Kluyveromyces lactis: one gene and its partners. The protein of the gene in region 3 interacts with the protein of the main gene of each other region in a biochemical or structural test. Links are inferred from orthologs where the notes say so. Each region holds a gene or a part of one and is shown on either strand. Other genes may lie near its edges.

What was found. The genes of interacting proteins can lie anywhere in the genome.
Region 1: of the proteins of MSB3 (region 3) and VPS21, one has a biochemical effect on the other in vitro, tested with the Saccharomyces cerevisiae proteins (3 studies listed by BioGRID, with this or other methods). The link is inferred for Kluyveromyces lactis from reciprocal best matches to the Saccharomyces cerevisiae genes MSB3 and VPS21.
Region 2: of the proteins of MSB3 (region 3) and SEC4, one has a biochemical effect on the other in vitro, tested with the Saccharomyces cerevisiae proteins (3 studies listed by BioGRID). The link is inferred for Kluyveromyces lactis from reciprocal best matches to the Saccharomyces cerevisiae genes MSB3 and SEC4.

Annotation. Positions count from the first base shown.
Region 1 is NC_006039.1:1,172,102-1,174,471, reverse strand, and holds VPS21 (Rab family GTPase VPS21), read right to left. Parts: upstream 1,144-2,370; coding exon 517-1,143; downstream 1-516. Other genes in the region: KLLA0_C13750g (S-adenosylmethionine-dependent methyltransferase), read right to left, coding at 1-147; type 2C protein phosphatase PTC5, read right to left, coding at 1,554-2,370.
Region 2 is NC_006041.1:1,074,133-1,076,459, reverse strand, and holds SEC4 (Rab family GTPase SEC4), read right to left. Parts: upstream 1,162-2,327; coding exon 517-1,161; downstream 1-516. Other genes in the region: VTC2 (vacuolar transporter chaperone), read right to left, coding at 1-36; proteasome activator BLM10, read right to left, coding at 1,527-2,327. UniProt on the Saccharomyces cerevisiae protein: Involved in exocytosis. Maybe by regulating the binding and fusion of secretory vesicles with the cell surface. The GTP-bound form of SEC4 may interact with an effector, thereby stimulating its activity and leading to exocytotic fusion.
Region 3 is NC_006037.1:671,887-675,578, forward strand, and holds MSB3 (Rab GTPase-activating protein MSB3), read left to right. Parts: upstream 1-1,311; coding exon 1,312-3,171; downstream 3,172-3,692. Other genes in the region: RIM21 (Rim21p), read right to left, coding at 1-615; MDY2 (Mdy2p), read right to left, coding at 3,283-3,692. UniProt on the Saccharomyces cerevisiae protein: Regulates exocytosis by functioning as a GAP for SEC4. Stimulates specifically the GTPase activity of YPT6. Also required for efficient polarization of the actin patches.

The sequences.
Region 1 (2,370 bases), on a different chromosome or scaffold from region 3:
CATTTGTTTCTGATGCTCGGACAGTGATTCCCACCTAAGTATTCTGGGTCGCCAGAACTCTTCTAACGCAAATTCCTTGTAACGAAAAAACGAGCTAGCAGTACGCTCCAATAATAGCACATCATTCTCCTCATCTTGGCCATCCATGACAATTTAAAACCCAGGTTGAATCCTTTAGAGTTTCATCACGCATGTATCATCATTCATACATCTCATTACCTGAATAGAGTTCTCTATGATTGAATTCATGAATAATCGATCAATACGGGGATCCGAAAAATTCACTACGCCAATATATATAGAAATAAAATGTAGGTACAAAAAATGTAAATCTAACTGATTTATGTATTACTGGTTATCTTAAACTTCTACTATGATGATATTGGAATATTATAGGCACGGTAGATATCTTGTTCTATTGGCTCCTTTCCTCTGGTTAAAATTAATTTCATCGATTGTTAATATGAATCATTTCGTTAGGCCATTTCCCCTAAAAAGAGGATAGGGTCGTGAGTATTAACAACCACATGAGTTGGGATTCGAGGTATCATCGGGTTTGTTCAAGTCGATCCTTCCATCTTCTGTTCCACGTAACCCATCGGTATTGGACCCATCCGACTTCTTTAAGGGTATTTTCTCTCCAATGGCCAAGAACACTTCGTTGACGTTATCACCAGTCTTAGCGCTAGTCTCGAAGAATAAAAGGTTCTCTTCCTGTGACAATTTTTCAGCCTCTTCTTTGGCTACTTTCCTATCCTCTTCAGATTCCAACAAATCCATCTTATTTCCAACCAATGCGATTACAATCCCTTTGCTCGCTTGTTCGTGTAATTCTTTTACCCAGTGGCGAGCCTTGATAAATGACTGCGGCTTTGTTACATCATAAACCACTAAAGCTGCTTGAGCATTTCTATAATACATTGGGGCCAACGATGCAAATCTTTCCTGACCAGCAGTATCCCAGATTTCAAACTTTATTGTGTGGTCAGCCATATTTACTCGCTGTGTTAGAAAGGCTGCTCCAATAGTGGGTTCTTTATTCTCAGCAAAATCATTGGACACAAAGCGCAAAACAATGGAAGATTTCCCCACCGCAGCTTCTCCTAGGAGTACCAACTTGATAGACGTAACGTTTGAATTCATTTCCTAGTACCTTACAACTGAAAATGACCTTAATATCAATGACGACCAGGTAAATCAAGATTTCTTCTTCGAAAGTTGGTTAATATGATGACTGTATGCTCGAGAGATTGTTTAGAAGAAAATGTGTCTGTCTACAATCTCAAAAACTAATTCGTACACTCTTGTTACCGATAGAGCAATCTGCTACTCCGGTTGTAAACGTTACGTTTCAATAAAAGTAGGGAGCATCGTTCATCCTTTTTTTAGTTTTATTTAGTTTTAGTATCTTTTCCCATAACGAAAACAAGGCTTTTGAATGTTGATAGTAGGTCACGTGCTTGGTGAACCTTCCTTCGAATCAGTGTGTTTATATAAGTGTCAAAAACGGTTATTTAACTAAATAACAACACTTTTATGCTAAGACTGCGGGTTCAGAGTTTAGATTCTTCTGGTTTGGTGGCTTTGTGGTTGAGTTCTAATTTACCATCAATGCCCTCAGTTTCTTCACCGAAAAAGACAACGGTGACAGTCAAGTCGTCTCTGTAACGTCTACTCTTCGTTGGAGGTATACTGACCAATGTAGAAACGTATTCTTTGTTACCGCCTCCACTGAGAGCGTTTCTGATTAGATGAGTTGCTACGTTTTCGTCTTGCATGAGATATTCGCTCTTAGAGTCAGGTTTTTTGGAGCTTTGGTACCTAAAAGCAGGCCTTTGTGCTTCTTTGTCTGGGGAGATGTCTTCTAGCTTTGGTAATTTACCTTGTGGAGATTGTTCCTTCAACATTTTGAAATTCTTTTTGATAGGATGTGATTCCATCCATTTCACAACGAGACCTGCGATTTCGTCATTACTCAACAACTCGAAAAGACCATCAGATCCTAAAACCATGAATTTAGTTTTAGGGTCCACGTTTGTTGTGGTTATTTCCGGCTTTGCTGTTACGTAAGGAGGTGTCAAGAAATCTTTAGGTTCCCTCCTGAAATATATCTTCAAATGGTCAGGTAGATCATAAACGGTTTTCCCATTTATCTCTTTCACTTTGTACCTGTAGTCACCAAAAGCCCTTGAAGGTTGGAGAGATCCTAGTATTCTACCCTGACGTACACAGTTTGGTTCATCAGGGTGCTCCTTCTGGATTCTCTCGACCTCTTGTACATTATCACCAGTCTGATCGGTACTTAAGGATTTTACAGTCCAAGCACCATCGTCAGACTGTTTTACCAAAATAGCACGTGAATCTCCGGTT
Region 2 (2,327 bases), on a different chromosome or scaffold from region 3:
ATAAGTATCATTAGCTAGCTTCACACCAAATAGCATTGTGCCTTGAATTTAAAAAGACCAAATCCCTCTTTTGACAATATTATAAGGGTTATAATAAACAGCAACCCTTCCTGGTTATAAAGCTGAAGATGGTGATCAGGATTACACTTCTCAATTCAAGATACAAGGAAGCTGAACAAGAAAATAGAAATCTACCCAACTGTTTATTGGCTAAATAAAATCTTTAAGTCCATCCTTATATCTGTTTCTTTATTTGCATTTCCTTCTAATGCACTCTTTATATAATCATCGATGCCCTTATATTGGGAAAGTTGGGCAATTTTATATTGATCTTGAGTGGCACGTGGAGATGGTCATGTGATTATTTACGTCACGTGTAAATCACCTGATTTGGAATGGTCGTGTAAAGTTACCTTTGAACTTTCTAATACATACCATTTGAATATATATATATATGTACACACACAAAGCCAATGCATAGGTTGTTATTTCTTATTGTACGCTCTGATCTGTGGTTTAGCAGCAATTGGACTTGGAGCCTGAAGAGCCTGAGCCACGAATGCTTACATTTCCCTCCTTTTCAGCCTTTCCTTCCATCTTACCATCATCGATCTTTTCTTGGATCAACTTGGCCAATGTGAAGAAGATTTCGCTGACGTTGGTGTCGTCTTTGGCACTGGCTTCAATGAATGGGATCCCTAGCTCCTTAGCAAGAGCTTCACCTTGTTCGTAAGACACGGTTCTTGTATCCATGTCCTTTTTATTTCCGACTAGCAGCATTACTACATCCTCGCTAGCATGTTGGTTAACAGTGGAGAACCATTGTCTGATGTTTTCAAAAGTTCTTTCGTCAGTAACATCGTAAATCAATACAATACCCATGGCACCTCTGTAGTATGCGGTTGTGATGGTTCTGAACCGTTCCTGGCCAGCAGTATCCCAAAGTTGTAACTTCACACGTTTCCCATTGATGTCTACGGTTTTAATCTTGAAATCGATACCGATTGTGGTGATGAAAGTTGGTGTGAACTTATCTTCAACAAAACGAACCAAAAGACATGATTTACCTACACCGGAATCACCTAGAAGTAAAATCTTCATGACAGAATCATAGTTTTTATTCGTGCTGCCGTTAGCAGAAACCGTTCTTAATCCAGACATTATAGTTTCAATCTCCCTTGTTTCCTTCACGCTTCAATTAAGTGAAAAAAATTGATATCACAGTTCAACACTGTTATTTTATCTCGATATATTGGAGGAGTGGCGAGCTGGTTATATCTGGTCAACAGAATCTGGGTTTTAATAGCTCGGCCGTAAAGTGTTTGGGTTAGTGCCTTTCGTGATGGCTATCCTGCTTTCACCCTTTCAAACAATATTTGTCCAAAATCTAGATACTGATCGAATTCGTATATGGTGATAGGCATACCCAATGTCAAGTTAAATTATACGATTTATACTTGTAGATGTACATATATATTCATGTGCATACGCAGCTTGTGGGTCATCTGTGTCGATTGTGCAACTTCTCAGGCGTAGTAACTCCTCCAAAGAACACCTTCCATATCTTCTAATTGCTCCGAGGTGAACTGGTATCTGTCCAAATGCCAGGTATCTGCTCTAACTTTCTTGTATCTAGAGATGATGTTCTTTGCATCAGCACCGCACATACCGCTTGTTCTTGCCCAGGACGCTAGTAGTGCCATATTCTCTGGAATCCAATTTGGTAACGGTGAAACGTACGGGAATGCTTCGATGATGGCACCGAGACCCAAGATCGCACCGTGAATATCTGTGTTGGATTTGGAGAGTGCAGCTTTCTCCTCGAAAGTATATGAACCAAGTTGACGCTTGAAGTTTTCCAAGAGAGTGTGCAAAGTATCGGTATCATAAGATATGTTATGCACGATACCGGCAAGGACATAGGAAGCCTTGAGACGAACCTCTACAAAACTCTTACAGAACAATTTGTCCAAAACGAACTCTAAGATCTTCACTTTACCAGCATGGTCCATAACCAACGATTGTGTGGAGAAAAGTTTCTCTGCTAAAGTCAAATTCACACGTAATTCATGAGAGCTAGTCAAATCTGTGTCATCCAAGATCGAAATTATGTCAGGTAACAACGTGCGGCTTATTGGAATGTATGCAAGTTCCACGTAAATACTGTAAACCTTAATGTTGACCATTTTACAAACATCTCTCATTCTGTCTAACTTCATCAAGAAGGGTGCCAAATAACATTTAGCAAATGGACCCAGACACACTCTAGCACCAGTATTGATTAAATGAGCAGCCCAATAGAACATAGTTGATGCCAAGTAGAAATA
Region 3 (3,692 bases):
TTGCATTCTATCAAAGAATCTCATCACAATCTGCACCTGGCTAATCTGCAATAAGAATACAACAACTAAATCGATACCAGCAAATACCTTATCGCCCCAAAGAAGATTCAAAAACGATGTAGATGACACATAACCATTATAAGTATAATTCTCTGCAATATTCTTCCATACTCTAATGACAAATATGGAAAGGTTTAATGATGCCAACAACGCACCCAATTTCAAAATGTACGACGCCTTACGACTGGGTTTGGTAGGAACGTTGATGAAAACGATCACCGTTAGGAAAACAGTGATGATAAAGTTGGCAGTAACAGAATAAATGACAGAATAGATGCTGTATTTGAACGGTCCTGTATATCCATCGTTGTTGATATAACTATTCCAATCGAAAGCCACAATAGGAAGATACGGACACTCATCCTCTAACTCCACAAACGATGAATATAATGGCGTGCCGTCTTGACAATTACTTGTAAACACTAATGACTTGATATAGGCGAACTTATCGGGTAGTTTATTCCATATTAGCACACCTTCGTCTAATTGGACACCTTGACAACTTGAATAGTCCTCTGACGGGAAATGATATCTCCATCTGGAACGCCCTGTCATATTGATCTATAACAGTGAAATTAACTTCGATACTAAACACCATCCAACATCACACATCAGCAGCCGGTCTCCAGTACCACACAGATGAGCTAATGGGTTATTTAACTTATATTTCTCTCTCCGTTTTACTAATTTCCTTTCAAGTCTTCAATGCTCATCGCAGGTGTGGTTTTAAGTCTAAAAGTTCAAATATGAATGTGGAGTATAAAAGAAAGGCGTGACATACACTTGTAGTTACCATTACCATTAGAGTAAACCTACAAACAACCTCCACAGACTCACTATGTGGTACCAGACTCCAACACTGGGGGCGAACACATGTCCTAGGTGGTATAAACCACGAAATGTGTACTGAATGTTCTTTCACGTGACAATCACGTGAAAAAAGCATGACTGAAATTGATTTCTCGATCTGTTTTCATTACTGCTTAAAGGATTTCTGATCAAATGACTAGCAGGTTTGAAGCTCTCACACTCTACAACCAAAATTCAAGAGAGAGGCATAGGTCTTTCAAGGTGCTAAGGGACGTGTTTGGTTTTCATATCGGGCAGATAAATATCCAAAGTTGCAACATACCAAGATCTGAGACGCGTAGCTGAATTCAAAGCTCATCAAGGTAACTTTTTCCAGTTTGTTTTGGTGATTTTTTTTGTTTATAGAACATCACATGACTGTAAAACCGAAGGTGAAACTAGATGAATCAGGATCAAAATCAGGCAAATCGTATGTATAAAGGTCCAATACGTTTACACACGATGTTTTCGCCGAGTGTACCAGACCTGAATCGAAAATTCAGTGATTTGAATACTAGTGAACAGTCAATTGCTGTTAGTGACGGGGGAGTTGCGTTACGGAAGAATGTTGTTAGAAACAATTCTAACTCGGAACGTATATCTGGAAGCAAACGCCCCAAGAGCACGATATTAAGGGAGAACTCAGCTGGATTATCTCTGATAAATCTATACTACGATTTGGATGATGAGAACGAAGAAGAGATAGGTCAAGTTTCGATGAAGGGACATAAGATCAATCAGAATAACAGTGGATCATCAGAATTGGAGTTGAATGAGGGAGCGTTAACACTAGCAACCGAGGATAAGACCATTAATTTAGATGATAGTGGGTCATCAGATGCGTTGAATGGGATCGGTCAATTGCCCACGCCAGAATCGGAATCTCGTGCGAGTCAATTGCTTGGAAACTCGTCTCTGATAGAAGATGCAGCTTCAATCAAGGTGAAGGATTCACATTTGGATAGGTATGGATTCATGAAGCAGAACCAATATATCTCAGAGAAACAATATAACGAATGGTGGTCAGAGTACTCCAAGTACTGCATTCGAAGGAAACGGAAATGGAAAGACCTACTTTTAAAATCAGGTTTACCAGTAGATAATGATTCTCCAAGTCGATTCCCTTCAAAGTCGGAAAAGTTGAAGAGATACGTGCGAAAAGGTATACCAGCTGAATGGAGAGGTAATGCTTGGTGGTATTTTGCCCGCGGTCAAGAGCTTTTGAATAAAAACATTGGTGTTTATGATAAATTACTGACTAAGATCAATGATCCAAGCTTTACAAGTAAAGATACTGAGATTATAGAAAGAGATTTACATCGGACTTTCCCTGATAATATCCATTTCCAAAGATCCAAGGTCAGTTCCGAGGACCCACTAATTATAAAATCTTTAAGGAGGATCTTAAAGGCTTTCGCCATCTATAACGCTAAGATCGGTTATTGTCAATCGATGAATTTCTTAGTTGGTCTTTTACTATTATTCATGGATGAAGAACGTGCATTTTGGATGCTAGTAATAATGACATCTAGGTACTTACCAGGAGTGCATAGTATTAACCTGGAAGGTGTCAATATTAACCAAGGTGTGCTTTTACTATGCATAAAAGAGTATCTGCCACACTTTTGGCAAAGAATATATTCCAATAAAGATCAACAACACAGTCCCGGCCTATCCAATAAGAACGAATTTCTCTATAAGTTGCCACCAGTCACACTCTGTACTGCCAGTTGGTTCATGAGCTGTTTCATAGGAGTAGTACCTATTGAAGCTACCTTACGTATATGGGATTGTCTCTTCTATGAGGGTTCACACATTCTTTTCAAGATGTCGTTAGCGATCATCGAACTAAGCGAGACCAATTTACCAAAATTAAATCACGTTAGCAGCCGAAACTCAGACGATGAAGACATGGAATTATTCCAAGCTATTCAAACATACCCTAGACGGTTGATAAACCCCAACGATATTATAGACAAAGCCATCTTCAAGAGGAGATTGAGATTCAATGCACTCAATCAAGAGGAAATCGAACGATGTAAGAAGTACGTTATCTCTCAAAGAGCCAAATACAAGAACTTCCAAGATGTAATGAAGAATGAAACCACCAACTCCAATAATAAGAGAGACTCCAAATTGGCACAGGAACTGATCAATGAAACCTTTTCTAACGAAGGATACGGATTCAAGAAGGGTTTAAATGGGGTAAATTGGAATAATAACATCAAAGAAAGAGTACGTAGATTGAGCAGAAAGAGGTAATTCTCTCATCACCAATGGAAGAAAGAGCAGAAATATCTAAAAGTATAAAATCACTACATATATAACCGGGTTGTTTTGCATTATGGACCAACAAATGACATGTTCTATCTTTTACTTACTCAACTCCCAACCTTTCTGTAGCCTTCCAAGGGCCACTGAGGCCGTGCTAGCATCCAAGCTACTCTCTAAAACGGTTCTAATTTTATCCCAAGGCAAATCAATATCTGTTTGAGATGAAAGATCCAACTGTGGATCCTCCATATCGACATCCATCAACTCAAGTTCAGGTTCAGGTTCCTGCGCTGGTTTCGGCAAAGGTGCTGTTTCCACAGGTTTCTCTGCTTTGGAAACCATTGCGACAAGGGATATTTTATCCTGGTTCAAATCGGAGACCAATTGAGTGTCGTGGAGGACTTTACCCTTTAACAACAACTTGATTTGACCAGTTGTATATATCTCAGGCTCGGTTTCCACTAAGAATTCCTTGATCTGACCCACGGTATCGGTAGATTCGAAGCTTT